Oreochromis niloticus: one gene and its partners. The protein of the gene in region 4 purifies or fractionates together with the protein of the main gene of each other region. This does not show direct contact. Links are inferred from orthologs where the notes say so. Each region holds a gene or a part of one and is shown on either strand. Other genes may lie near its edges. The genes, in order: psmg2, pomp, psmg4 and psma5.

What was found.
Region 1: the proteins of psma5 (region 4) and psmg2 purify together in Homo sapiens (affinity purification with mass spectrometry; 4 studies listed by BioGRID and IntAct, counting the BioPlex papers as one, with this or other methods). This does not show direct contact. The link is inferred for Oreochromis niloticus from reciprocal best matches to the Homo sapiens genes PSMA5 and PSMG2.
Region 2: the proteins of psma5 (region 4) and pomp purify together in Homo sapiens (co-immunoprecipitation; 6 studies listed by BioGRID and IntAct, with this or other methods). This does not show direct contact. The link is inferred for Oreochromis niloticus from reciprocal best matches to the Homo sapiens genes PSMA5 and POMP.
Region 3: the proteins of psma5 (region 4) and psmg4 purify together in Homo sapiens (co-immunoprecipitation; 3 studies listed by BioGRID and IntAct, with this or other methods). This does not show direct contact. The link is inferred for Oreochromis niloticus from reciprocal best matches to the Homo sapiens genes PSMA5 and PSMG4.

Annotation. Positions count from the first base shown.
Region 1 is NC_031985.2:19,890,726-19,898,519, forward strand, and holds psmg2 (proteasome assembly chaperone 2), read left to right. Parts: upstream 1-4,786; 5' UTR 4,787-4,959; coding exon 4,960-5,016; intron 5,017-5,781; coding exon 5,782-5,953; intron 5,954-6,274; coding exon 6,275-6,333; intron 6,334-6,447; coding exon 6,448-6,566; intron 6,567-6,653; coding exon 6,654-6,833; intron 6,834-7,076; coding exon 7,077-7,197; intron 7,198-7,296; coding exon 7,297-7,377; 3' UTR 7,378-7,691; downstream 7,692-7,794. Other genes in the region: uncharacterized protein zgc:136493, read left to right, coding at 85-241. UniProt on the Homo sapiens protein: Chaperone protein which promotes assembly of the 20S proteasome as part of a heterodimer with PSMG1.
Region 2 is NC_031974.2:26,857,462-26,864,217, reverse strand, and holds pomp (proteasome maturation protein), read left to right. Parts: upstream 1-4,602; 5' UTR 4,603-4,684; coding exon 4,685-4,762; intron 4,763-5,083; coding exon 5,084-5,181; intron 5,182-5,313; coding exon 5,314-5,374; intron 5,375-5,566; coding exon 5,567-5,668; intron 5,669-5,755; coding exon 5,756-5,849; intron 5,850-5,944; coding exon 5,945-6,012; 3' UTR 6,013-6,236; downstream 6,237-6,756. Other genes in the region: lg9h11orf65 (protein MFI), read left to right, coding at 774-778, 1,712-1,793, 1,886-1,978, 2,050-2,103, 2,214-2,423, 2,599-2,729, 2,944-3,114, 3,247-3,302 and 1 more. UniProt on the Homo sapiens protein: Molecular chaperone essential for the assembly of standard proteasomes and immunoproteasomes. Degraded after completion of proteasome maturation. Mediates the association of 20S preproteasome with the endoplasmic reticulum.
Region 3 is NC_031981.2:27,035,254-27,042,686, forward strand, and holds the start of psmg4 (proteasome assembly chaperone 4), read right to left. Parts: upstream 3,021-7,433; 5' UTR 2,887-3,020; coding exon 2,719-2,886; intron 1,321-2,718; coding exon 1,245-1,320; intron 1-1,244. Other genes in the region: bphl (valacyclovir hydrolase), read right to left, coding at 4,038-4,128, 4,215-4,338, 4,459-4,590, 4,712-4,865, 6,295-6,461, 6,638-6,741. UniProt on the Homo sapiens protein: Chaperone protein which promotes assembly of the 20S proteasome.
Region 4 is NC_031970.2:25,680,690-25,688,066, reverse strand, and holds the start of psma5 (proteasome subunit alpha type-5), read left to right. Parts: upstream 1-4,369; 5' UTR 4,370-4,500; intron 4,501-4,813; 5' UTR 4,814-4,835; coding exon 4,836-4,864; intron 4,865-5,257; coding exon 5,258-5,324; intron 5,325-5,427; coding exon 5,428-5,554; intron 5,555-6,753; coding exon 6,754-6,821; intron 6,822-6,906; coding exon 6,907-7,014; intron 7,015-7,114; coding exon 7,115-7,173; intron 7,174-7,268; coding exon 7,269-7,371; intron 7,372-7,377. Other genes in the region: matrix remodeling-associated protein 8, read right to left, coding at 1,022-1,155, 1,247-1,348, 2,115-2,420, 2,505-2,531, 3,088-3,139. UniProt on the Homo sapiens protein: Component of the 20S core proteasome complex involved in the proteolytic degradation of most intracellular proteins. This complex plays numerous essential roles within the cell by associating with different regulatory particles.

The DNA of each region.
Region 1 (7,794 bases), on a different chromosome or scaffold from region 4:
CACACAAAAATGGAATGAAAATGAAAGGAAGCATGAATGAACATCAGCTGTCTCCTGATGCCTTTCTTGCTTTGTTCGGTGCAGGGATCACCCTCTCCTCAGCCTGCCTAATGTACTCATCACACCCCATGTTGGCACCTACACCTATGCTACAACAAGACGGATGGTTCAGTGCATGGTGGATAATGCCGTAGCAGCTGTGAATGGCCAACCTGTTCCCAATGAAGTCAAGTTGAAATGATTTTAATTAATATTGCCAAGAATTTTTTACATTTTTGTGTCCCTCTTAAAAAAGAAGGTGAGGTGGTGTTAGTTAGAGATTTATTTTTGGCTCTTTGGTTTCATTGTGGACACTTGTTGGGCAACAAACTGTAAAAACTTTTTACTTTTTGTGAAGAATAGGATAATATTCCTGCTATAGGATAAACAAAGATTCCCGTGTTGAATCTCTGACTTCCTCTAAGAAAACTCAATGACTGTTGAAACTTTAATTAGTTTGAGGAGAAACTATTTCATGTTCACGTTGGCAAAAGAACTCGCTGTAAAAGTCAAAAAACGAAAGAAAAGTTGCAGCTTGAATGCAACCACTCTTAGTTTATTAATCCAGTATGTATGTGAAGTATGAATGTTTAATTAATAAATAATTTTTTTAAAAAACTTCTTATTCTTGTTCTTATTCATGTTTTTTAAAGTATGTTGATGTCATTTTAGCGGAAAACATGTTGAATTATTATTATAATTTTTACTCATTATTACTCACTTCCTACTAACACAAGGCCTTTTAAGGTGGGTGGAAAGTCTTTCTGGGGAAGTTGTAAGGCTGATATGTTACTGCTTGTCCTTCTGAGTGACCATCTTGTCCTGTTTGGAACCAGGCTGATAACTCTGACCACAGTGCCCTTGGGCCCTGGACTGCAGGCCAGAATTACATCTCCAGCCCATTAGTCTGCTTTGAAAGAAAAACAAATCTTGTGTACCCTATTTTCAGTGTGAATATGGTGGTTTTCTACTGGTCGCTATTGGAACTCATTTCTTTCTTTTACTGAGGCCATTGTGTTGCCTAAATTTTAATTCAATTAAATTTTTATAAGTTAATTTTTAATTTATATAGCGCCAAATGACAACAACCGTTGCCTCAGGGTGCTTTATATTGTAAGGTAAAGACCCTACAATAAAAAAAAGAAAACAGAGAAAACCCCAACAATCATATGCCCCCCATATGTGCAAGCTCTTTGGTGACAGTGGGAAGGAAAAACTCCTTTTTAACAAGAAGAAACTGCCAGCATAACCAGGCTCGGGGAGGGGCAGCTCCCTTAATCCACAACTGGTTGGGATTAAGGGAGAAAGACAGAGCAAAGACATGCTGTGGACGAGAGCCAGAGATTAATAATAATTAAATAATTGAATGTAGAGAGGCATATAAACAGAATACGAGTAAAAAAGTAGAAAACTCGGTGCATAATGGGAATCCCCCAGCAGTTTAGACCTACTGCAAATGCAACCCTAAAATTTGCTGGGCCCCATGGTGGTAATAATGTCATAAGGTTGCAGAAAAGCAGCCTTATTACAAGCAGAAAAATGTTTCTCATAGGTCACCAAATAGCCGTTGACCCTAAGACTACCAGTATACCACAAAGCCTGATGGGAGTTGAAGTCACCGGATCAACTCTGGGGATCATCGGAATGGGACACATCAGATACAAAATTGCTCAGAGAAGCAAAGGGTTTGATATGAAGATCCTGTATCACAACAGACACAGAAGGTAAGCACAGTTTGGACAGTTTATGAGTTTGTGACAGAAAATTCTATAATAACTGATCGAAAACGTCGTGCTACAGTGAATTGAATACAAACTATTCAAAAGAATTAAAGGAACACTTTGAAAATTAAATCAGATCTCAGTGTGAAGCACAGGGCGCCCACCCTGGACCTGCCAATTCTGGTATTCTATTGCATATGTCAACCAGGCTCCAGTGAGCACAGGGCCAGGATGTCGGGCCCTCAGAACACCTTCATGAAGTCTGTTTCTGATTGTTCAGAGACATTCTCACCAGTGGCCTGCTGGAGGTTGTTTTGTAGCTCAGGCAATGCTTATCATGCTCCTCCTTGCACTAAGGAGCCAATACCAGTCCTGCTGATGAGTTAAGGATTTTCCAGCTCTCCTACAGTAACTGCCTGTCTCCTGGAAGCTCCTCCATGCTCTTGAGACTGTGCTGGAAGAGACAGAAAATCTTCTGAAAGTATTGACGTGCCATCCTGGAGGACTTGGACTACTAGTGCAGCCTTTGTAGGGTCCAGGCATCATGATACCAGTAGTGACACTGAGCCTAGCCAAATGCAAAACTAGGGACAGTCTGAAAAGAAGAAGAGAGAAAAATGTCACTAGCCTCCGCCTGTAAAACCAATTCCTGTTTTAAGGGTTGTCTCATTGTTGCCACTTTAGTGCACCTGGTGTTAATTTTTATCATCACCAAAGCAGCTGATACTGATTAAACTCCCTCTGCTACTCAACTGATCAATATACCAGAAAATTAACTGACTTGATGCTGTTTAAATATATATTAAATATCCCAATTTTAAAATTTTAAATCTGATGTTAATACCGTGTTAATACAGTGATACTGTGACTGCAAGTCCTCACCAGTCTTCGAGCTTTCAGTCTGATTTTGTGTCTTTTTTTGTCTTTTCATGTTTCAGGTCTGGTTGTGGATCAGGATGCTTTAGTCGAAGCTCTGGGGTCCGGAGAAATTCGAGCAGCAGCTTTAGATGTGACTCATCCTGAACCTTTACCTAGGTAATATGTCTCTGAAGACACCCACGCTCTGCAGCCAGAGCGGTACATCGCATAATCATAATGATGAACTCTTACGTGTGAGGTACTCAGGGTTGTATGCAAGGCTTCTTGCATACAGTGTAAACAGAATCATTAAGTTGTGTTTTAAATAATGCTCTGCTTGTTTCAGGCACATTAAAAAAGATTAAAAAGCTGCTTGAAGAATCTTACAATGAGTAAGATCAGTCAATTCCATAATTTGTTTACCACATCTGACTTTAAAGGTTCTTGTTCCATTCTTGTTTGATATAGGATTCTAGTTGCTCAGCAGTGATGGGTCGTCTTTGTCCTGTTTGTCTTTTTTCTTTCTTTTTTCACTCTTCTGCTATGAAGTCATGCTGTTGTAATAGATGCAGTATGTGGTTTTGCATGATCTTGCTGAAATATTCAAAGCCTTCCCTAAAAAGAACGTCATCTAGATGGGATCAGGGGTCCATGTTTTCCAAAAATAATTTCAAATCATGTCTCGTCTGACCATAGAACAGTTTTTCACTTTGCCTCAGTTCAGTTTAAATTAGCTTTGGCCCAGAGAAGACATTATTTTAATTGGGGAGATGTGGGCTGGAAGTAGTTCACTTTCAAAATAAAAGCATGCAGACATAAACAACATATAAAATATATGCAATATATATAAAAACAGACTAACAAAACCACACAGTGAAACTCACAGAATAAAAAATAAAAATTACTTCCACCCTGTGACAGATGCAGTGATGTCCATGATAGAATCATGCTTTTAACGCCATGCCCACAGATAACAGACATTCTGTATCGATTTTTCAGCCTTGTCTGTTGCGCCCAGAGATTCCTAAAGATTCTTAGAATCTTCATAAAGTTTACATTCAGGAACAATATTCTAAAATTGTTCCAGAATTTGTAAACTTGATTGTTGACCCTCTGCCCATCTTTACTTCTGAGACACTCGGCCTCTCTAAGGTGCTCTTTTTATACCCAACCATGTTACTGACCTGTTGCAAACTGACCAATTAAAGCTGTTTCTCTTTAGTATCTTACATGTCTGATTGTTATGCAATTTTCATCTTCTACACCAGCTTTAATCTTACTTTAAGCACAACAAGCTGGAGAGGAATATATTATTCCTTTACCACAATGTGCATGCAACTCTGGAAGGCATCCTTCAATATGCAGAAAATATGTAACATTAATATATTAAATACATAAGAAAGTAAATTAACAAATATAAATATGAACATATAGACAAATTGTTTAAAGTATCACATGTCCTTACTAAAGGCCTTTTTATTTAAGTACAAATTTTACATAAAAGTTAGGCTGAGATAATGCAACAAATAAATAAATAATTGTGGATATTCAGGAATTTTTTGAATGTGTAATTTGTTTATAAGCAGATTATTGGTATTGTTATTTTGTTATTTTCCAGAGAAGTCAGGATTGTTGTTGACTTTAACAACAACAACAACAAAGCTTCAGTTATTTCTTTGCTGTCAACGTACCTAACAGAATAGACAAACAGCCAACAGCAGCATGACACAGGCAATAACAACACGTATGGCATATTTATATTTATATGTGCAATTCCGCCGAGTGTAAAGTTGTTGGAATAAATTATGTAATGAAGGGATGGATAAATTGTTACCACACATACAGTAGTACATATATGGACAGAAGGAGGCCGGACGGATGGGTGGATGGGTCTATGGATGTATGTATCGATAGAGAAATGAACACAGCACAATTGAGGCAACAGAGTTGAGGATCTCTAATACGCAGTAAATCTTTGCAGCGCTACAGTCTGACCGTTAACATGCCTGATCATAATAGAAACACATAAAACACCACTTTAAATGACAGTAAGTAAAAAACACTTGGAGCTTTAAACAAATCTGTGGACGCTTGTTAAAGACGTCTACTTAAAACTATTAAAAAAAAACAAAGCTTCACTGTAACATTTAATTTAGGCATTCCCGCGTGGTACTAAAACCGTCATCAACAGTCGACACAGAGCCGAGCAGGTCCACAACGCCAGGCATGAAAATAGAAGCGAAAGTTGCCCTGGGATTATAATTTAGACGTCTAACTTTTAATTTAGTTTGTTTATCTGGAGGCTTGTAGGGTCGTGTGTGCCTGCTGGCTGAACAGCACCATGTTTATCTCCTCGCAGAGCTCAGCACCCTCCTTCAGAGATTTTACCCTCGTCATGGTGAGTGACGGAGGAAAATAATCCTCCCATCAGTTCCTGCTTCATGCTTTCATATGAGACTCGTGTAATCACCAGGGAAAAACAAAAGCTTCACTTCTCTGATTTTCATCCAAGAAACTGGCTGTGTATAAAAATACCTTTAATTCCTACACATGTAATGCAAAAGTCTTGTTAAACCCCTGATTGAAGTCCACTGTGGAGGGGCGCAGAGGCAAAGTCTTGAGCCAGCCCTTATTTCTTTATATTTCCAGAGCAATCTTTTTGTGTGTCAAGCCACTAAACATTTACCTGTGAATCATTCAAGCTCATAAAAGACACCTAACTGAAGGGATGAATGAATGACACATGACACGCACCCTGTTACGATAATGCATGGCAACGTTTATTCCCATTGTTTTAGTTAAATCTATGGAAAATGTCAAAGAATAATAGTACAAATTTGTTTTTGCCTGCTGTATTTCCATGTATATTTGAACAATTTGCTGCATCTGTTTTCCATTGTTATTGCAAAATATAAAGAAATAAGGGGTGACTTTAAACTTTTGCACAGTGCAGTAAAACTACAAAAAAATTTAACTGTCTTAAAACTTGAAAAAAAAACTTAGAGGCCTAATAAAAACTGGAACTCTCTAACATGTGTTTTTCTTCATCATATGTTTTGCACAACTACATGAAAATGTGCTCAGGAAAAGGAAAAAGTGATTTAAACGGTTCCTGCCTTCTCTTTAATTTTGTTACTTATCCTCTTCCTCTTTCCTCCTCCAGCCTGCGGTGGCCGTAGGTAATGTGGGTCAGCTGGCCGTGGATCTCATCGTGTCCACTCTGAACATGAGTAGGGTGGGCCACATACACACTGACTGTCTCATCCCGATGGCCGGGAACGACCCGTACGCCAGCAGCAAAGAAGATGGCGAGGAGCTGCACACTCCTGCTGAAGGTACAGTTGATTCACTGCTGGTGCCTGTCTAACACAGAGGTGTCAGAAATTTTAAAAAAAACAAACAAACAAAACAAAAAAACTCAGAAATGTTCCCTTTGAGTCTGCTGTCTCTTTCTTGCTGTCCGCTGGGATGTCCGCTATCCCAGCTGTGACCTTCTGATTGTTTTTAATCAGCACTATGTCGTATTAGTTGGCCAGCGGCTGCTTATCCACCAAAGGACATTAGTCCTGTTGTCGTCAACCATCAGTCAGGTGATCAGCAGTTTTGTCTGCAGCTGCTGTGAAGTCAAAAGAAAAGTAACCCTCTGTTCTCCACAGTTTACGCAGCAGCAGAACTGAAGCTGGCGGTCCTTCAGATCAGAGCACCAATTCTTCAGGTAACAATCAGTCATCAGTATGACATCAGTATGACGTCAGTTCATTCTCTGAGTTCCCTTCATACTGTATGACTATTGTTGTTTTCTTTTGTTCTACCTTTGTTTAAACTGCAGTCAAAGACCAAAAAGTTTCGTCAGCTGCTCGTGTCCTGGATCAAATCCAGCGGCTTCTCCAGGACTGTCGTCCTCTCCAGCAGCCACGCCTACCAGAGAGATGACCAGCAGCTGCAGGGGTAAATACGCTTGCAACGCCATCGCCTTATTTCTTCACTTTTGCATTTTTCAATCATGTCTGCTCAACAAACACGTGTCTCGGCTAGCACTCCTTTGAGGTACCTGGTCACGCCGTCCCTGCTGAAGGGGAGCGCGGACGCTTTGAAGGAACTGGGCTGGAGGGAAATGGAGCGAGTCCCGGCCTTCCCCGGACTCACAGATGGAAACACGGAACCACGGCTCTGCATCCCCGGAGGAGGCATCACCAAAGGACTTTACACAGACAGGTAGATACGGGAGACCTGCAGGCAGACACAAGGGCATCAAAAACACAGGGAGCTGTTTTTAAAATCTTTTTTATTTATGTCTGTAAGAGCATGGGTTTAATAATTATTTGAATATAAATCACAATAAAGGCAGCTGCAGGTGTCTGCTGTGTGTTCAGACACTTTATTAAGAATGTTGAAACGCCTCAGTAAGAGTTCCTTGTTAATATTATTTGTGTTTGTGTGATCACGTTTGCTGCACAGTTGCAAAGAGGACCTCCCGCTGGCTGTGCTGCTCGTCTTCTGTTCAGAAGGCGACAACATCCCCGATGCCTTCGCTCTGGCGAACCACCTCAACGACTGGCTCCATCTGCTGGACGATAACGTAAGTGACACCACGGCGCAGCATTAAAGCAACCTAAAGTTTCAGAGGAGTGGTAATGTCACTGTGAGGTGAATCATTGTTCTCCAATTCTGCTTTCAGAGCAAACAGCCCAACAAATGGAAGATCCCGACTTCCTGGAGTCTCCTGTTTGGAAACGGCATCCCGCCTGCACTGTTCTGATATAAGTGTATAGTGTTTTAGTTTTTTACCCTCTATAATTTGTGTTTAATGCAAGACGTTTGCTCCACATGTTGTCGTTTTCAGACCTCAGCAAACTCTCAACTGGGGCCAAACCCGGTGACTGATGGCAGCGCTGACATATATAGAAAGATGGAAATTGCCCACATAAATCTCCTCTATCTTGGAAATGTATCTTAAATAACTCAAACATAACAAAATAAAATGTACAGGATGTGACCCAAACATTCACTTCTGGACTGCTATTTCCTGGTTTAAAACAAAAATGTTTTTCTAATAAAAAGTTGTTACAGGAACGTGGTGTGAATTCATCTTGATTGTGGCCCTTTCACTGGATTAAGCCTCCACCCACTTAACTGAAAGTGGTTGGCCAGGCTCCATGCTGTATTCCTGGCAGTC
Region 2 (6,756 bases), on a different chromosome or scaffold from region 4:
AACTGAGCATCTGAATGGGGAAGAAAGGTGGTTTAAATGGCTCTAAACATGACGTGGTTGTGGGTGACTGCTCTGCGTGTTTCAGAAACTGCTGAACTGCTGGGATTTTAGCACAAAACCTCACAGAATGGTCCAAAAAAGATCAAATATCCAGTCCCTCACCCTGCCAGAGTATTGTTTCTGACCATGGCTGCTGATGGCTGCTTCCAGCAGGATAACATGCCATGTCACAAAACTTTAATCATCTGGTTTCTTGAACCTAACAATGAGTTGACTGTACTTAAAGGGCCCCCACAGTCACCAGATCTCAAACCAATTAAGCACATTTGGGATGTGGTAGAAAGGGAGAATCACAACATGGACAAATCTGCAGCAGCTGTGTGATGCTATCATTTCAATATGGACCAAAATCTCTGAGGAATGTTTTCAGTACTTTGTTGAAGCTATGCCATGAAGAATTAAGGCAATTCTTAAGGCAAAAAAGGGCTAAAGTCAAGACCTATAGAGATGTATCTAATTTTTATTTATTTATTTATGTATTTATTTATTTATTTGTACCTGGGCTTGTAAAATATCAGTCTTGGTCTTGACTTATAATGAACTTCTATGTCCTACCGTTAAGTAATACAACTGAGCAAAACAACATTTTATTTTGAAAGTACTTTCCGGAAGACTAATTAATGTCAGGCTATGTTGCCAAGTAACTTACTGAGATATTTTCAAAGCTTCTGCTGTCATCAGCTGATAAGTTTAGACATTTATTGGCAGCAGTCATGAGGTGATGTATATTTTACATCATAATGACGTTTGCATATGATAAGAAGTCACGTGTGTATCACACAATGTAAATACTGTAGATATTATTTCCCTGGCTTAAGTTAGCTAACGTTAGCTGTTTGATGCCTTAGCTTAGTTCCCAGATAAATTGCAAACTTTAAATCATCTTATTTTTGTATTGTACATAGTTGGGACAACATTTTTATGACTTTTCCATTATGCAGAAGTTTTTATGCCGTTTTATTGATACATACACACAGAGAATCAGAATACTTTATTGATCCATAGGGAAAATTATGTAGAACAAAAACTCTCTCAATCCACATGATTGGGGGAAAGATAATAAACAGATGAAAGTACAAGTAAGGGAAAAAAAAGCTAAACTAACGAGAAAAAAGCAAGACAAACTGCAGCAGGCTGTGACAGGCTGCATGCTGGTCGGCGCATGCGCACTGAAAACCCCGTTTTTATTTTATCACAGTAATTACCAATATGCTATGTCAGAAATTGCTTGAATAAGTTATTATTCTGGCATAGTATTACTAAGGCAATTTAATAGGCAACTAATGTGCTGCTGTGTATGATATTTTAGAAAATGACTGCACATTTTTATATTTAAAGTCCTAATAACAGTTAACCTTAACAGTTGGTTAAAAGTAATGGAAAATGTACATTAAAAAAATCAGCTTAATTCCTCCCAAATAAAAGGACGGTGAATTACCAATATAAAGTCAATTAAAATGACTAAAATTTGAATAAAGTAAAAGTGCATACCACCAGATTATACGAAAAATAAGTATCTAAGTCAGTGTAAATATTCCACTATTGGTTCTCTCATCAGTAGAACTCATCATAAGATACATTATGCAATATATTGTAATGTAAAAAATAATCGGTCTCTTTGTCCTTCCTTCTCATGTTTCCTCTTCTGTAGCTTGCAGGAGGAGGAGCCCCAACAAGGGACACTGCAGGAAGTGGCAGTCAGAATAATTCAGAGGGCTTGGAGAGGATATGTGGTAGGAGCATCTGCTACTACTGCTATGGGAACACAGACTCACATATGTGCACAATTGTAGGCACAACTTGTTTTTATCTACCCAAATTGCAGGCCAGTGAAGTCTTCAGGTATTTCAAAGAGCTGATTTTCTACTGCAAACAGCGGGATCCAAAGACCATCCTCAAAACTGTCAATCCTCGAGAGGTAATGGAAATTGCAACCCCTATGAAATAAAACCAAATCAAACAAAATGAAATGTGATTTTGTTGTGGCAGGCCGAACTACTGGATGCTGCAGCTGGAGTGTTTATCAGATTTCGACTTGGAGGGGTAAGAGCTCAGAGAGGAAATAGTATAGGTCAGGAATAGATCACTCAGGAGCTATATGGATATGATATTAGAGACATGCCTTCTGACATCTAACCTCTCTGCCACTTTAGATCAACTTTCCTCCCAATATCTATTACAAGATCTTCACCCATCGGCCCATTACGGATGTGTGTGCAGGCAGTCCGAAAGACTACACCAAGCAAAGCCGTAGGAAGCTTGTGGCCCAGAAGACCAACAAAGGCCCAGCCGTCGCAAAGGATGACCGATTGGGTTGGTACCAGCGCATGGAGAACAATAGTTGGAGGCTGTTCTGTAACAAGGTGAGGAACAAAAATGAGTTTTTGTTCTGCTTTAGTCAAGTTCTGCCATTTGTTTAGAAACAGTGAGCCAAAGAGCTACAGCAAGTTTACAAATGCTTTTTAACAGGAAGCTTCTAAAAGCCAAAGTTCTGCAAGTCTGTTTTTTTTTTGTTTTTTGCTTCGTCTTCTCTCTTAGGTGGTTTTAGCATGTGAGCCTGCAGAGATCGGTGCTGACAAAAAAATGGACTTTCATTACTCCAAGTTGCAGCGGAAGCAAGATTTAGAGAGGTGGAGGAAGAGAAAGAAAATTGAATGGCTGAAACAGATGTAAGCGCTTTTGTGAAATGAAACAGTTGGCGAGCAAACCACTGTGGCATCAGTGATCACAATAATTTAAATGCAATCTGAAGTTTGTGTCTGTTATTTATTAATAGTGATAGAAACCTCCCCCTTATAGAATCACATCTTTGCTAACAAACACATAATGGTGTGTTGCTTTAATTGTGCTAAATGAGCTGTCACTCCTGTTCCTTACATACAGGTATAAAGAGGGTCGTCTGCAGGATCATGCGGAGCACAGACACATGGCGGCCCTGGTGGAGAGTTCCACCCAGGAATTCATGGAGACCGTTGAAAAGAAAGGAGATGATGAAATACTGGAATGGGAGCTGGATGAGCTGCTGGCCTGGACCAACACTCTAAACTTCGAGGAGTAAGGCACACTGATTAGAATGTTTGTGGCATTTGTAATTTTTCTTATAATTTCCCGCATCGTAGGATGTACCCCGCCCCCCCACCACCACCACCACCACCGAGTATGAATTTTCCTCTCTTGCCTGTGCAGGTATATGGAGGAATGGAGACATTTGGCCTGTAGTTACTCCTCTGAGCAGAGCAAAGGTAAAAATATTCCCTAAATACTGTATTCTGTGCTGCCATCTGATTTTTTTAAATTGATAGCTAACATGGCAACATCATGTAGGTTGCTTTGGAAGTCTTTGGATGATCCTGATAATCCAGTCTCATGCTATTCTGTCTTCCTTTTTCTTCATCACCTTTTTCTCATATCTCCTACAGATGGCCCTTCTCACCCACCCAGGTTAGATCCACACGAGCTGGCAGCAGAACAAACATGATTTATGTTAAAACTGTGCAGTCTCGAAGTGGAGTGTGCCACACTGTTATTGTTGCAGTATTCACTTTAATAAAGTCTGAAACTTGCAGTTGTTTACAGTCTTTGTTAGTCTGTCATATAAGTAGACATCACTGTGTGCCATTTTTTGTTAGTGTGTAGACTATAGTTTGTTACAGTAACAGTGTGTTAAACCACATTCCGAATTCCAGAGAGTCAGACTGCCAAAAATTGTCCTTAATCATCAGCTCGCAAACATCTGCAAATCAACGTACAGCTGATATCCGGTGTGTTTGTATCCGTCTGATAGCTGGAAATCACCATGTGCCTATGGATTGCTGAGGTGACTGAATTGGCAGATCACCAGCTTCTACTGAATCAATTCCACATCCTTAGTTTCTCATGGAATAATGAGACATTTGGTCAATTTTCCAATACTTCTTGTGCTCAGAAGTACTTCTACTTCTGAGCATCTTAAAATCCAGTGCTGCATGAAAATGACTCCCCTTGTCTTCAATCACGTCTTGACTGTTCAATTCAAATATATGCTGGTGGTATATGAAGGCAAAATGACAATCCCAACTGGATCTAACTGTATTTATGGCTTTTGTGTTTCTTAACTTGATATCCGAGGGTGTTCAGCTCATTGTGGGAGCACACTGTACCACTGTAGAGAGAAGTGCATTTTACAGGTCAGCCTTACTTGTTACTTGTTTGATTGAAGCCATGTATCTGTAAATGTAATGCTACATAGTATGGTAATTGATGTAACAGATATTCTGGCTGTTATCATTATTATTATTATTATCATTAAATTCCAAAAGCTGTACTTGTCATTAAAGTGATAAATTAAAGTTTTGCAAATGACTAACGCAAAAATTGGAAAACAGGGGGCACCCGGATTTGAACCGGGGACCTCTTGATCTGCAGTCAAATGCTCTACCACTGAGCTATACCCCCTCACGTTTAGCACAGCGGACGCATACGTATTTGTCATGATCATAATCATTCCCCACACGAAGTTGGGAGTTCATGTTTCTATCTTCAGTTAAGTGATAACGAATTGATTTCGTATACTTTAGATACTGTACAGCACACGATAGTATGTTTAACTGGAAAGACGTGGTTCTGTACATAACGCTATCAGCGGATGTGTCGTCATCAAAACGAGACGCTACCGGATACAGCAGTGTATCGAAAGGAAAGGGGAACAAACGAAGTGAAAATGGTATGATAGCGTTTTTAATGCCTATACCATATTTTTTAAATATCTTAAGCCTTGTTGTTGCGTACTCTCTTTGCTTTAATAATCTGTGTGATCATTTGAAGTCTCGGTGGTGAAGCTGTTTGTTTTTAACCGTGCCCAAACTGAGTAGCTGTGAATTTGATTAGTCACTCGAGCTAATGCCAGCTAGCGCTTAGGTTAGCCACAAGGTCCCTTAGATAAATACAACTTCCAGTATTTGTTGCTATTAGCTACATTAGATAGCCATTAGCTAAGTGTGATCAAATGTAAATGGTTTATGTATGTCTTTGATGTGGACTACAGAATTCCAGAGGACTTCGCTCTCAGCTTAAGGACAGTGTACCTGTGGCTGGGTTCTCTCCACAGGGAGCTTACGGAGTGCAGGACTCCCTCCGTAGTGGGTGAGAAACTGTTAAAAATGAAACACAGTTGCATGATAACCTCAAAAAACACATTTTTGTATTAGCCCCCAAATAAAGAACAACGTGCTGTTTGTAACACTTTTTTTTTTCTCTACTACTTTTATTAAACAGATTTACCAGTGTTAAGAATGAACTGCTTCCAAGCCACCCGCTGGAGCTGTCAGAAAAAAATGTGAGTCATTAAACCAATTAATGCTGTCTCCATAAAATGCTTAAATGGTATTTGTGTTTTGTGCTTGGTTTTACTATAAAAATTACTTTTTTTGTCAAATGCAGCTCAGTTTAATCACAATAGACACAAAGGGCAAGTAGTAAAAATACGTTTCTCTCGGTATCTCACTGTTTTCTGTTTCTCCATGAGCAGTTCCAGTTGAACCAGGATAAGATGAATTTCTCAACACTCAGAAACATCCAGGGTCTTCACGCTCCTCTCAAACTGCAAATGGAGTACAGGGCGGCCCGACAGGTAGCTGCAGTCCTTTTTTAGGGTGTTCTCTTGTTTTGTTTTCTTTTTTCCTTCTCAGTCCTGACACCAACTGTTTCTTCCCTCCAGATCCAGCGTCTCCCATTCCTACAGAGCTCAAATTTGGCTCTCGATACGCTGCGAAACAGCGATGAGTCCATTGGATTTGAAGACGTCCTCAACGGTGGGAACCTTGTCCTTCCCTTTTACACCTTCAGTGATATGTGTGTTGAAATAAAACCATAGCTTATACTGTGCTTTTGTCTTTTTCCTTTATAGATCCAGCCCAGAGTGAAGTGATGGGTGAGCCACACATGATGGTGGAGTACAAATTGGGATTGTTGTGAACAGAGTTGGGCACACAGATCCATATTATTATTATGTATGAATACATTTGTTTATCAACTCCATAACCAAAGTTAGTAGTTGGTGGAGAGTTTTAGTTGTGGAGTACTTTTGAGCAGGACGTGTATGTGTGTGTGTGTAGTGATCTTGAAAAGAGTCACTCACACAGGCTGCTTTTGTATGATTTAATTTGGTTATTTCTAATAAACTTCATGACTCTCCTCATTGTCCTGGTTCATTTGATCAGTTATTTACATTTTTAGATGAGCTTGCGCTGATAAAATTACCTGGCATGTGTTCAGAGAGAAGGTGTAACAAAGCCTCACTACCCACTCTGAGTATGTTCACCTGTATAGCTAACATTGATTTGCCAATGCAACAGGTTAATAAAGAGCAACACTTGTATTTTAATCCATGTTATTCTTCACTTCACTCATTCTTCATTTGCCTAACTTGAAGTGTCCTTAAAAAAGTCATTGATATCTAAATCGTTCTTTTTCATCCCACAATTAAATTCTTCAAATATGTTATTTAAGTCTAATTGCATGTTTATACGACTGTACTCTCCATTTAGAGTTTAAGGAGCTGTTGGCAAGGCTCTCCACTTTCTCTTTTAAAATTTGCACTGTGAAGCCCGGGGTTGTTAACATTAATAGCAGGGTGGAAATCATTGAGGTTGAATTCATAATGGCTGCTGCTTGGTGGCATGGGCTGATCAAACATCTGCAACCAGTTGAAAAAACGCA
Region 3 (7,433 bases), on a different chromosome or scaffold from region 4:
GATATACAAGCATGCATCAGCCAGTCAGTTCCTTAATTTCATTGGCTGTGGGTGAGAAAAAAAAATCCCATGTTTCCTGTTTAGTTGTCAAGGCAACATTATGTGGTAAAGACACCATGGATGAGTAGTCATCCCTGTAGACTTTGCATTAGGCATGTGTATAAACAAAGTTGGCTTATTGTAGAATCGATTGTCCAAAGACAATTCTACCCAGTCATGAACTGGCAGGTAAAAAGACGTCCACGTTCAGCCTTACAATTGCCCTCTGCATCACCCTGCACATTTCCAGAAATAGATACTACAACATTGGTTAGCATACCAGGTTCTTGTTGTGTAGGTACACTGCTAATGAGTCAACACTCAGTTGACACTGAGTCAACAGTCAACCAGCAGTCCTTTGTTCACACTGGTAGTTGCATTAACCACTCACCTCAAAACTGAAATAGGTTACTTGCCTCCTACTCACTTAACATTGTCAGTGTTTCACCTGTTGCAAGCTGCTGAGTTTCAGTGATATTTGTAGTAGCTTGCCATCACCTGTGTGTGAATGGGTGGATGACTGATGTGTAAAGCGCTTTGGGGTCCTTAGGGACTAGTAAAGCGCTACACAAATACAGGTCATTTACCATTTTATTTATATATTTCATAGTGTCTTCCAGTGTGGACATCACTTTATAGTGGACACTGAGATTGGCCAAGTATTTTCACAAAACCAAGATAAATGGCTATTCTTTGCTGCTGTGTTTTGGACCAAGTTAAATGTAGTGTATCATTTTACACTCCACAGCATATCAGAGGTCTGAAACACTTCTCCAAGCCACCTGTAATTAAGTTTGACGATAGAACTTGTGGAGATTTGAGACTTGCCTTGCTTCTGTAATTAACTGCAATATCAGAATCACTTTTGATTTCAAACCTATCGTTTCACGGTTACACTAGTTATTGTACTAACACACACTCTGAATACTCCAAACACAGATATGCTACTTTGAAGCATCACTCTATTCAAGTTTCAATTCTCCCTGCTGACTCTCAGGAAGGAAGGTCAAGTAGACGCCAAAAACACATGCAAGAAAAAAGCATGCCAGTGACTCTGGGTTCAAAATTACATCAATGGTAAAATTCTAACATATAATAGAAATCCACAATTAAGAAGCACATGGCAACTTAAATGAGCATTTTATGACTTTGCTGTAGCCATCTCCTACATACAACACATATTGCAAACTAGTGTTATACATTACCTAATCTTTGTGCCAAAGAATTTGGTGCTGTGTTGGATGGGTCCCCCATAACTAAAGTAGATAATGGCATTGAATCCTGCAGACAAAAGCATATAAGCTGTTAGCTTCCCTTTCCAAATTAACATGTAAGTGACTTAATACCTGTTTATAGGCCTAGGTCATTTTTTTTAAACTCAGGGAAATAGAGAAACACTTTTAATCTTCACAAGACTCGCTTTCTCACTCTGACATACATATACATATATATATGTATGGATATATATATATATATATATATATATATATATACATATATATATATATATATATACATATATATATATATATATATATATATATCAGTCTATATACAGTATATAATGTAAAATACTGGATCATCATATTAGTGAACCAACAAAAAATGTAGTCAATATTTGTAAATGTAATCCCTGTGAGCCAAGAGCTCAGGCTACAGACTGCTCAAAATGCTCTCTTTAGGCAGTTTTCTTATACTCTTGGCTCTGGATGATGTCACTGAGGATGGATACCCCTAATATGGTCATCTCAGACACAAGTCCCGCCCGATTATTTGCTCTTCTGTTTCCTAGGGGATGATGTTACAGACAGGGAATGAACTGAATGGCTGCACTGAGACCCAGTATAAGATAAACAGCAAATATGCATGGTTGATTGGAAGAGATGTGTGTTACTGTTGCCATTCCTAGAAGTGGGGGGTAAGCTTGTTAGTGTCGGCCTACTTAAACCTACTGCAAGGCTCTACCCAGGTGTAACCCAATCAACTCAAGGACTCTCCACCATTGAGTCTCTGCAAGAGTATACAAAAAGGCCCTCACAAAAGCAACGCAACTATAGTAGAGTCCAAAAGTACAACTATGAACGAATATGGAGATATAAACAACAGAATAAAACCGATCCAGAACAAAAAGAATTAGTTTCCTCATTTCCCTCTTGTGCTACGTAGCCAGGACAAGGTGGATAAAATGATCCCCCATGTCATATTACATACAATATAAGAAAATAAATAAATCAACTGCAGCCATCTAAGTAGGAGGCTAACTGGTAACAAATGTTTTGTTCAGCCCAAAGAAGTTCAAGTATTTTGTTTACAACATATAAATAAAAAAAGTGGAGCCGTACAACATTTCATTTTCAAAAGACCAAAAAATGCTGAGGAATTGTTTCATTTACACCGCCAAATTAATAAAAAAAAAAAAAAAAAACATTAATTTTTTCAACATAAATTTAGGAAAAGCCCAGCAAAATAAGATAAAAAAAAAAAAATCATATTAATTTTAACGTATATATTCTTTATGAAAAACGTTTATTTTGAAAATCATCCTAAAAAAAATTAAGACCTGCGCTTTTAAATACCGAGTTTCTTATTCTTCACCCGACGAATATACCCAATATTCTTTATTTCTGGAAAACGGCTTACCAGTACTTAGTGAATGAAGGTGTGCTGTGCGGTACTTACATATTTGCTGCTCATCGACACTGCTAAGTTGGACAGAACCGGAGCCGAACCGACCCAAAGGAAAAACCCGCCGCTGAGCTTCATGACGTGAAAGTGTACCACCTGCTCCAGAATCTTTTCAGAGAAATTGTGAACGGAAATTCCCTTAAATTCCGCACCGTTCTGCATTTTGCCACTTTTGTTTCACTCTTTATTGGATGAACATCTAAAGTCCGCGTTAGCTTAACTATAAACAGCATGGAATACTTCCTGGTTTAACAAAAAAGGCAGGCCAAAGCAATCGATCATCGATGCTCGAGAGTGAGAATCCAGCACAACTGATCTTGGTGCCGCAATAGATCCCTATATTACACATTCAGTGTGAATTAAGACACATATATTAGCTGTTAATGACACTTTCTTACAGTGGCACCCTCTATGAAATACCAGAGACTTTATAAGAGTTTTTATTGGTAAATATTTTATTCTTGTGCAATAGACTCATTGGGCTGTGTCATAGACTGTATAAAAGATGCCAATGACGTCCTCCATTTGTCCAAAAAGCCATGTTGGGTTTTAGAAGCCAAAGGTGACCATATTTAGTAGAGACGGAAGTATGCTATGATTTTAGCTAAGGCTAGCAGTCTGCAGCCATAAACTGTATGGTTGCCACGCAGCCTGCTAATGAATGACAAGTCAAAAATAAATAAAACAATTAAAATCCCACTCACCAACACTTCACAGCACAAACCTCTTGGACAGCCAGTACTTCACAGCAGCTCCTATTATTTGTCAGATAGAGCTATAGTGGCCAAAACGTTTTCTTGTACCGGACTGTAAACATCTTTATTTTGCTGTGAGCTTAAGCATTTTAACACTGGAGCCTCTGGGATTTTACCACCGGATTCACTGAAGTTTTGCTTCAGCCCTTGAAGGTGACACTTTGGGCTTTCCTTGTCAAATAAATGTACGATATTGCAGTTAGAGATGGTAGTAATGTTTCTCCTCTTCCAATAAAGCCTCTGGCCTGCTGAGCCCTTGATACATTTTTAGTAAACTTTGCTCCAGAGCATCCTGTTAAAGACACTTGTCACAGGTCTATAGCTGGATAGATCCCAGAGTTTGTTACAAATGAAATTTATTTACATTAAATTGTAACTTTAATTAATGTAAAAAGCTGTTTCGCATATTTCTATATTTTTGTTAAATCTAACATTCCAAATGAAGATTGCATCATAAAAAGTAATCAAAGTAATGTTACAATCCACATTCTACATTTTATTTTTAAAGTAAGTAACACCAATTCTTTTGCTACACAATCGAATAATGAAGCCATGGTTTCACTCTTCAAGAAAGTCTTCCACCAGTTTGTTGAATTCATCAGCATACCGCAGGTGGAGGTTGTGTTTCCCCTCTGGCATTAAATGCACTCTAGATTTGGGGATGAAAATCTTGATTTAGCTTGTACCTAAAAGTGAAATTCATCAATTTGTGGTAATATTATTGTGCATGCTCACCGTGAACCTTTGATGTGTTTGAGGAGGTACTCAGGGTGGAGAATTGGCACCATGGGGTCTTTCTCTCCATGGATGATGAGGGTTGGACAGCTGATCAGGGGCAGATGTTCCATGCAGATGCTTCCTAACCAGAGAGCAAAAAGGAAACATTCAGATTATCTGCTGCTATGCATTAGCAAGAGACAAAATTAACAAGTATCTTTTCAGATTGTCTAGTGCGCCTGCAGCAGCACAGAGCCATCACCTTCTGGTCTGTGGGCAAACTGTGCGATTCCATCCACCCAGGCCTCCCACAGTTTAGCAAAGACTTGCTCCCCATACACCTCCTCCATGGGTTGCCTCATCCTCGCACTCCATTTGGAGACATCACGCACCTCTGAGTGTTCCCACAACATAACCGTTCACACACAAACACACAACACGCACATATTCAAATGAAAGCCAGTTTGTAGCTCGAATAACTTGCCACTTGTCCAAGGCAATGAAAAGTGACGCACCATTGTAAAGCTTGAGGTCATGCTGGGAAACAAAAGCATTGGCTCCCCACACAACCATCTTCTTGATCAAATGGGGGTTCCTTGCAGCTGCAACCAGAGCGGTGATTCCCCCATCACTCCACCCGAGCAGGGAGAACTTGCTGAATCCCAGTGTCTGCCAAAGAAATCATAAAAAAGTAGGTTGTGTCAAAGCGGTAACACAACTTGCTGTTGTAAAAAATGCAAAAACTTTCTTTTTTAACCGCAAGACTAGACAGGGGCCCTGAATTGTACTTTTATCTGTGTATGAATTGTGATATATAAACCAGATTGCATTTGAAATGCAGAAAATAATGCAGAAAAAAATTAGTCTTCATGCTTCTGAATGTACAGATATTGTGAGAAACCTATCTGACAGAATCCTTCCTGAATGATTCACAGTTCTAAGACATTTTGAACAGTGAAGCATGAAAAGGGTTGGTGGTGGGGGGTGGGGGTGGCCTTTAAATTTTCTGTTTTGAATCATCTCTCAAATTTGAATAACAGGTAGGCGGGGCCAGAATAATGTGCCTGTGAAGATTACTTATACGCATCTAGTATTTACAATCTTTTTCACAACTTTGGCTGTGTGTAATATGAGCATCCACTATTGGAACATATAGTATACAATAACAAGATCAAAGAGAAAAATCAAAGAGAATATTAAAATATTATTAAAGCTTATCAACACACAACAGCTGTGTTGGATTCTGCACCCATCTAATTTCACATACTGCACGTGTAGCTCATAGGTCGCCAGTGATTTCGAAATTTATATTTGCATAAGAGTTATGATGATGGTTAAAAAGCAATTTGATTGGCATACAAAATATTGCAGAAGTACTGAAAGGAGGGGGGATTTGTTTGTAGCCTCATACCGGAAACTATAAAACCCCAGACTGGGGCTTTTTGTCATGTTCATTACTGAAGGGTAAAAGAAGGATATAGCTTCATAAACCAGGAATTTTAATATTGGCGTATGAAAATAACATGTCTCAGTATTAGAATTGGAAGGTGGATTAGACATCATTGAAGTCAGGGTCGCCTAAATTTTGATCAGAACACAAAGCAGAGAATAGAGGAGGCATATACACTGACTGTATATACTAATTTATTAATTGTGCTTTAAACACTTTCTCTTATAAAACTGCGTAAAAAAACAAAACAAAAAAGAAAGGACAAAAAGAACAAAAAGAAAAGGTCCAGGTAATTTTTTAAAGGTAATTTCCTGCCAGTACATTATCTGTTTTGTTATGGGAGTTTCCATAAATGGTAAAACTCGATCTGTGGTTAAAAAAATATATTAGGATTCGTATTGCTTTCTAATATCTATCCAGATATTAGACTGTAGTAAAATCTAGCAGGTTTTGGATTGCAGAATTTAACTTATTTTCCATTTTGAATGAATTCTAGACCTTTATTATTTTACTACACGCTGAACTGAGCATGAAGTTCATCACTCCCCATATGTTCCTTTCTTTCACATGCCCCCCAGAGAAGGGGCTTCTCGGGAAACTGTACGGGTCAGATTGGTAATCATTTTCACCCTGAGTTTATCAGCAAACCTTCATAAGATCAACTGCATCCTTCGCATCCCTCTCAAAAAAGTCAGGGGGGAAGTCTCTGTCTGGGGGACGGGATTGTCCATACCCACGGGGATCCCAGCCAACTACAGTGAAGCGTTCTTTGCTCAGAGACTTAAGCTGAGCACCAAAATCCGTCTTTGTGCTTCCTGCAGTAGAAAACATAACAGTTTTTTTTAGATGCTTAAAGGACTTAATCAAACTGTACTGAAGGATATGTTATTCTTGCAACAGAGATATTTTGAGTATAGAAAAAGATTTTGATGTCTTCACATATAGCCAAACTTTTCTTCTACATTAAAAGGAGGCGTGTGCTTTTATTTACCCAGAGCGCCAGGAAGCAACAGCACAGCATGTTTTCCTCTGCCTGTCTGCTCATAGTACAGATTCACTCCATTAACAGGCTTCTTGCCTGAGGCCACTGAAGTGCTGCAGGGAAACACACGGGGAGACGGTGGTAGTCAAAATGAGCGGAGGGTAGCAGAATAAGGTAGAATAGTTACTTTGAATGTTACAACCAAAGATAACAAAGCCGTCCTTTGTTAGGACAATTACAGCAATCACATTGTCCAACTTTGATGGGAATAGAAGAATCTTGGGTTTCGTGGGGCCTTAAAAGCAGGTTTGAAAAGTGGAACCATTGTTCAGCTTAACCCTCAGCGACAGCATCTGTTCCTGTAGATTTAGAGTGCTGATGTATGGCACTGTCTTATTCTTGGTCTCTGTGTACTATTAAAGTTATTTTGCTGGGATGAACTAGAAATGCAAAGTTTCTACCTACATTACTGCTGAACACTCGGCTGCGAACCGTTCCAGTGCGAGCTGGAGGCCCTCACCCGATGAAGCCAACAGAACCACATCATCCGCAAAAAGCAGAGATGAGATTCTGAGGCCACCGAAGTGAAAGCCCTCCGCCACTTGGCTCCAGCCGAGTGTGAAGCAGCGGGAATGAGGATCAGCACCTCCAAATCTGAGGCCATGGTTCTCAGCCGGAAAAGGGTGGAGTGCCCACTCCGGGTCGGGGATGAGTTCCTGCCCCAAGTGGAGGAGTTTAAGTATCTCGGGGTCTTGTTCGCGAGTGATGGGAGAAGGGAGCCGGAGATCGACAGACGGATTGGTGC
Region 4 (7,377 bases):
CAACAGGAAACTCCAAGGAACTCAGTGAGAATCTAACAAAGAGAACTGTAGATTCACACAAGTAAGGTCTCTTGGAGCCATTTCTAAAACAACTGCTTAATCCAAAATCATCACTTAAAACAACTTTTTGTATGTACAAGTTATTTGGATGCATTATTAATTTGCCAAGACAGTTGGCAAAGACCCAAACTTTGGGTCAGTTTGGGCAAAAACAGTTTCCCTCTGATGAGAGGAAATTTGTGAGGATGTTCTGGAACAACCCAGGAATCACCAAGCATCAAGCCTGAAATTAACTGGAAACTGCTGGAAGACCAGCATCACTGTCCACGGTGAAGTGAGTTTTAAATCAACATGTACAGAGAGGGTGCCGACCAAGAAGGAAGCTCCAAAATAAACTCTTTTTTGCAGCTGTCCATATGGACTAGCCAAATGCCTTCTGGAGAAAAATAAGACGGTCAGATGAGACAAACATTAAACTCTTTGGCTATAATGAGAAGCGGGATGATTGAAGAGTTAAAGGTAAGGCTTTCAAACCTAAGAACATTGTACCAACTGTCAAGCACGGTGGTCGCCATCATGCTCTGGGGCTGCGTTGCTGCCAGTGGTACTGGTACATTGTACAAAGTAGATGGAATAAAGAAGGAGGACTGCCTCCAAATTCTTCAAATTCACCTCAAATCATCAGCTAAATGGTTGAAATTTGGACACAGTTCGGTGTTCCAACAGGAAAATGATCCCAAACACATCAAAACTGGTTTTGGAATAAATAAAGTAGATTAACATTAAGCAACTGGAATGGCCTTCCCAAATTCCCGAACTCACCTCATTGAAATTTGAGGACTATGCTTAAAAGCTGTCATTAAACAAGTCATTAAACATCTATGCTGTACAATCGTTACACCCTGGAAAAACAGTTCCAAGAAATAATCCAAAGCAGATTAACCAGGACATGTACATGTCAATTGTAATGTTAAAAGCAAATCTTAGCTCTTGATCTGTCTGAGGAAACAAGTAGAAACACCTGCTGATCCTCCTCCTCGTCGCTCCAGTCTGTCCACACACTACGTCGGTTGATGCACGGCAGCACCGCAGTGCTCCCGAGCAGCACCACGTACACGGCCTTATGCCCATCCCAGTATCGCTGTACTTTACGACCTTTGTGGCAAAAACAAGTCAAAGGGGTTTGTGGATTAATACTAATGTACTTCGGCTCACATGCTGGTAGCTGGTAGAGTGTGATACATACGTGATTTAGTGACATTGAGCTGGACTCTGATTGTCTCATAGAGGTTGCAGTAGAGATGGTGGAGGTTGCAGGAGTACAGACCTCGGTCATTCATCGTCACATCTGTCATTACATGTAGAAGTACAGCAAATCAAGCATGGCCACTTAGGAAACGGAAGTGCACACTTCATATTAAAGCAAACCTTTTTCCAAAACCTTTTAGATTTAATGGCATAGTTTTTTTTTTCATTATCGGCAAAGTGATTGAGTTTATAGAGGCTTCAGATTTATTCCTTTGTGTGGCATTTATGTATTTGTGAAACCCTCGTTGACTCTGTGTTTTAGATTTGGTGTTGGATGGTAATCTATGTAAACTGGGCATTTTAGTTTTTGTTAATGAGGTAGCAATGGGGACCAGTTGCGTACTGACGGGAAATCAGAGACAAATACCGAAATAAATCACTTGAAAAAATTGCACACAGAGCTTTAATAATTTTAATGATTTTAATCATAGCCAGACCGACTGCCTCTATTAGAAGACATGGTTGCCCTGTAACAGTATAGTGGTCACACTGATGCAATTTAGCCATACCTCTGCATGGAAGAGAGGTGATAAGGGGATGATATCTGATTGTGAGGGGAGATGTGTCAGGATGCATTTGGCTTTCTACCTGTGTTAAACAAATATCTAGATGGTCTTTGATTTTAACTGCATTTCAGTGGCAATGATTCACCTTTCTTTTAAAATGTTTGTCTACATACTCTATGTGTGATCTGAAATATTTGTTATAAGAACATAAAAAGCAAAGCCACAGTGAGACACACCAACAAAGTAAAGTTGGCCAGTTACAGTTACACATGAAAGACAAAAACAGAATGTGTCTGTTACTTTTGATAACCAGGGAGAAGTTTCCATCTTTGAAGGCTGTCGGGTTGAGACCAACCCTGCCCAGATTGTAGGAGTTGTACATCCTCTGTTCTCCTGCCGAGAACATGTCCAGCACCCTCTCCATGGCGTAGTCCGGATAAGCCCTGTACATATCCCAGTGGATCACCCTCTGCCTGTCTCTCACCCTGTCCCTGGTCCACACCATCCGGCTGCTCACACACTGCAGCACCAGCTTCGAACCAGCAGGGGAGCTCACATTATAACCTGCCACAACTATGCTGCTGCTGCTCTCAGCCTGACATGACACTGACAAAGGACAGACAGGGTGCAGCATTTTTAGTACTCATGGACACATAGATCACATGTGCACACACACAAGGAGAAACCTACCTGCAGTGAAGAAGCAGGCCACAGGGACTGGAAAAACAAAACAAAAAAACAGTAGAAATAAGCAAACGGGTTAATCACTTAAACAGGTATTCAGACAAAATCTGTAGCTCCCTGCATCTGAAAATGCATATGTGTGTGTGTGTGTGTGTGTGTAGGCAATTTACTGCAGGTGTAAACAAATATATATTCCTATCTGGAAACACTCTTGGGCTTTGTTTTTGTACTGTGCAGTTAGGCCTGATTGAGATTGGCCCTCACTCAGTGTTTCTCATCTCCGAGAATGTATATAACGCAGAATGTATCTGCGTTATAAGTGTGGACGGAAGTCTGGTTTTAAAATCAGCCCAGAAAAATACATCAATCTACCTTAACGACACTAGAAACAAACAAACAAATCTTTAAAACGTTCTTTCACCTCAGGAAAAAAAGGAAAAAAGAGGAAAAGTTACTTAGTAAAATATATTTTTCATTTCTTTAGAGTGGAGAATCTGAGCCCAACTTCTAAAATACTTTAACTCACGAATGCAAAGTCTATCCACGCTTGCAACAAAAGCAAAACAGTGCTTCACTCCAGCCTACTTACTGTGGATCAAGAGGAGAGTCTGAAAAATGATGTCGTCCCTCTTGGTTTTCATCTTTTCAGTTTTAAGCCGATAAGTCCGTGTTCTGCACCTGGCAGTCCGCCCTGAGCATGAGAAAATACGTCCAGCCTGTCTGTTCGCAACAACAACCCGTCAAGGTTAGTCACATTCCAGAGTTTGGAGAGATCTTCGCTGCCACAGCACCAAGTTAGAGCCCAACACAGAACCAAAACAGGGCCGAACGGAACTGAATCCAGCCGAGAAATGAAACCCGACACCGCCAAGTAAACCTCCTCTCACAAACCCCCGACTTATTAGCCTACAATAAAAAATCTCAAGAGAGACATTTGTTTTTACACTTAAAGATAACATTCTCTTACTTTTCCACTAAATTGTGTTAATAGCTGTACATCATTACTTTTGCAGTGGTGGCATATTGGTATTCGTATTACAGCACATTTCAAAAGCCACACTGCTTAAATTCCGTTTAATTTCGGCATTTTTCCAGGAGCACTCAGTAAGCCAAACAATCATTTCCAAGAGCATAGCAGATAACTTAACCACTAATCTCGATACGTTTAAAGTGCTGTATTGACTGTAAATTGGAATATTTTATATTTTGGGGTATTTAACCGGATGAAGAAATCAGACACATCACCAGGTCATCATCTCTTCTAATTCAGCTCAATGACGACACCCAGCGGTTGGTTCCCCTCTCAAGCGGCCACAATAATTTTGTAAATTATACCATGTTTTGGAGCCTGGTGTGCCTTTTTGCCACTACGAAGGCCAAGTTCGACATTCTCGTGAATGACATTAAAATCCCATTGTCACAAAAGAGTCGTTCCCATACCGGGAGTCGAACCCGGGCCGCCTGGGTGAAAACCAGGAATCCTAACCGCTAGACCATATGGGACACCGTGCTCATAAATCGTGTAATGTTACATAATACACGTACGTAAACGCATGGCATCCAACGATGATTACCTATGTCTGTTTTTGTTAAGTTGTATTCTTGTTATTCTGACTTGCACGAATTGGAACAATTATTTGTCTTCAGTAGATTTCATTAACAATTTGTCTTCAGACAAAAAGAAAAATTATGATTGTAGGAAACAACATCGTGTTTTCAGGCAACATTACCCAGCTTTATTTTTCCTCATTTTTCACAAATACCAGTATTATAATGTGCTTTCTTGTTTTTGAATTTTACAAGTAAAAAAAATAATAACAACCACAAAATCAAAAGCTTTTTATTTCAGAGTACATAAATAAAGTTAATTTAATGAAGCATATTTTGACTTGGAAACGCGGAACGTTGGTTAGGGAATTGCTAACAACCGGCGCGTTTGGATGTAACACACCTAACGCTTCCTCTGAAACAAGCGAACTCATTGAAGGGTTTTTGGCTGAAGGTAAACGAGCCGAGCAAGTGAAGTTATTTTGAATAATACCGGGAAATTGTACACATATATTTCCCCGGACATTGTTAAACTGATGGAATTTTGATGTTTGATGTATATTTGTGTCTAATATGCAGTTAATTGTGTAATTGGTTGCGCTGTTAGCTAGCACGCCTGTTCGGTATCACCGCTAACTGCAGCTAGCAGATAACCCGGTGTCACAGCAAACTTGAAACCAAAAACTAGAATTAGCTCTCAATATTTGCTTTAACTTGTTGTTACTGTACAGAAATCTTACACAAATAACGCATCTATCTTTTTCTAGGTCCTGCGTTTAACGTTATAAGATGTTTTTGACCAGATCGGAATATGACAGGTAGGTGAAGCACAAACTGCTTTGTCATTTATTGAGCGCTTAACAGAGGGAAATGAACAAACGAACGAGAGCACACAGGTGTTTTATTGTCTACCCGAGAAAGAAAGCCCGGTTAGACGCCTAAAGAAAATACAGAAAATGCTGATTTCGTGAAACACTTATTGTAACGGTGTCTCTACAGCTTGTATCAGCTAGCAGCTAATAATCAATGTTAGGAAAAAGTTGGTTCGCTTTCACTTTCGGTATGCCATCTTTTTCAAGCTGAGCGTTTATTTACTTTGCTGTTATAAGGGAATAGAGGTGCAAATAATAATAGTGAAAAATAACTTTTACAGCTATCTTTAATATATTAATCGTTGCTAAAAGTTCTAAACATTAATTTCTGTTTTCCAGAGGTGTGAACACATTTTCTCCTGAGGGAAGATTGTTCCAGGTTGAATATGCCATAGAGGCAATAAAAGTGAGTACTTCACAGGAATCTTTAACCATGTATGCACGGTTAATAAACAAAGTGATTATATTCAAGCTCATCTATTTTCTTTGGCCTGGCTTTGCTCTTCTAGTTGGGCTCCACAGCCATCGGTATCCAGACATCAGAAGGGGTATGTCTGGCTGTGGAGAAGAGGATCACCTCTCCCCTGATGGAGCCCAACAGCATTGAGAAGATTGTGGAGATTGATAGTCACATTGGTAAGTGGAAATGGACCGTGACAAAGGATTAAGGCTTTTGTTGACATAATATTACTGGCTGTTTTTTGTAATGAGATAAGATATCCAGTCAGCTAAACTAGTTAATTGATTCTTCGATTAAAATTGGACTTGAAATGCATGTTATTGTTTTTGTTTTTTAACATAGAAATCCAGTGCAATATTGTTAAAGAAAAGGAAAAGCAAAAATTTTTGTTATTTTCTTTTTAGCCCAGAGAATATTATTATTAATTGTATGTACACTTCAATTTTCAAAAAACTTTATTCCCTTACAAAAAGAGAAACATGGACAAAAAAAACTGAAACCGTCTAGATCAATAGATTGAAACAACCTAAAGAGTCATTCCATGTGAATTCACTAAATTTAAGAAAAAAAGATTTCAGCCAGACCCTCTCTGATTTACTTCAGAGCACTGATTTTAAATATTTTTGCAATTAAATCAGAGCCATTTTAGCCAAGCATTGCTTAAACCAAATATTATTAGATTTAGTTTTTTGGCTGATTTAGTTTGTGTGACAATATAGACCAAATTAAAGCTGTTTATGAAATTGTTTTTGAAAGCATCATCTCTTTATTATTTGGTCCCTTTGCAAGACTGTAAAGCAGAAAATAGATAAATAAAAACATTTTAAGTGAACAAAGTGCCATTAATAGTACTTTAAACCAGAGAATGTCACTGGGCTACTCCATGTAAAGATTGGTGAAAATATCTTAAAGTTCTCTCTTTTTTTTTCTTTTTTTTTTCAAATATTTTGTGATTGTGTGTGTGTTGTTTTTTGTTTTGGTTTGGGTTTTTTTGTTTTGTTTTGGGTTGTTTTCGCAGCCCTCTGTTTAAGGGAGAGTATTCATCTTAAAAAAACACCTCGAGAAATGATTCTCTTTCCTTTGCTCCAGCTAAAACTCTTTGGTATAAGTGGCTTAAATTAGTCAGAACATTGTCACGCAAAGCTAAGCAAATCAAGTCCTTGACTTTAACTTTCACACTGTTGTTGTAGCCGTTTCAGACAAATGTTAATCAGTGCATTGGTCACATCCACATTCTTGCACAGTAAAGCTTTCCTTCGGATTACACGAAATTTCATCACGTTTGTCTCACTTTGATGATGAAGAGTCTTGCTTTAGGCCACAGCCTGTGAAAGATATATGCAGGTTTTTAGTTTTCTTTCTTTTCACGTCTTAGGCTGTGCCATGAGCGGCTTGATAGCTGATGCCAAGACTCTTATCGACAAAGCAAGAGTGGAAACACAGGTATGATTTCAGAGCACAGCGCTGTATAAGGCGTATTTAGAGTGCTGTGTTTATCTGCGGTTAACCTGTATGCGCTCTGTTTCAGAACCACTGGTTCACTTACAATGAGACGATGACAGTGGAGAGTGTGACTCAGGCTGTGTCCAACCTGGCGCTGCAGTTTGGGGAGGAAGATGCAGACCCTGGTGCCATGGTGAGTCACTCAGCCAGTGTTTGTGCTTTCATTTTGAGATGCAGACCAAAAAAAGTTTGATGTTTAACTTCTATTTGTGTCTTTACTTTGTTTTAAACAGAGTCGACCTTTCGGTGTTGCGCTTCTGTTTGGGGGAGTTGATGAAAAAGGACCTCAGCTGTATGTCAACATAATTGTTTATATTTTAAAATTTAAGGGATATTTGCTTGCTTTGCTTAAACACATGTATCGTTTTGTGTGTGTGTGTAATACAGGTATCACATGGACCCATCAGGAACTTTTGTGCAGTGTGATGCTCGGGCCATCGGTTCTGCATCTGAGGGAGCACAGAGCTCTCTGCAAGAGGTCTACCACAAGGTAATA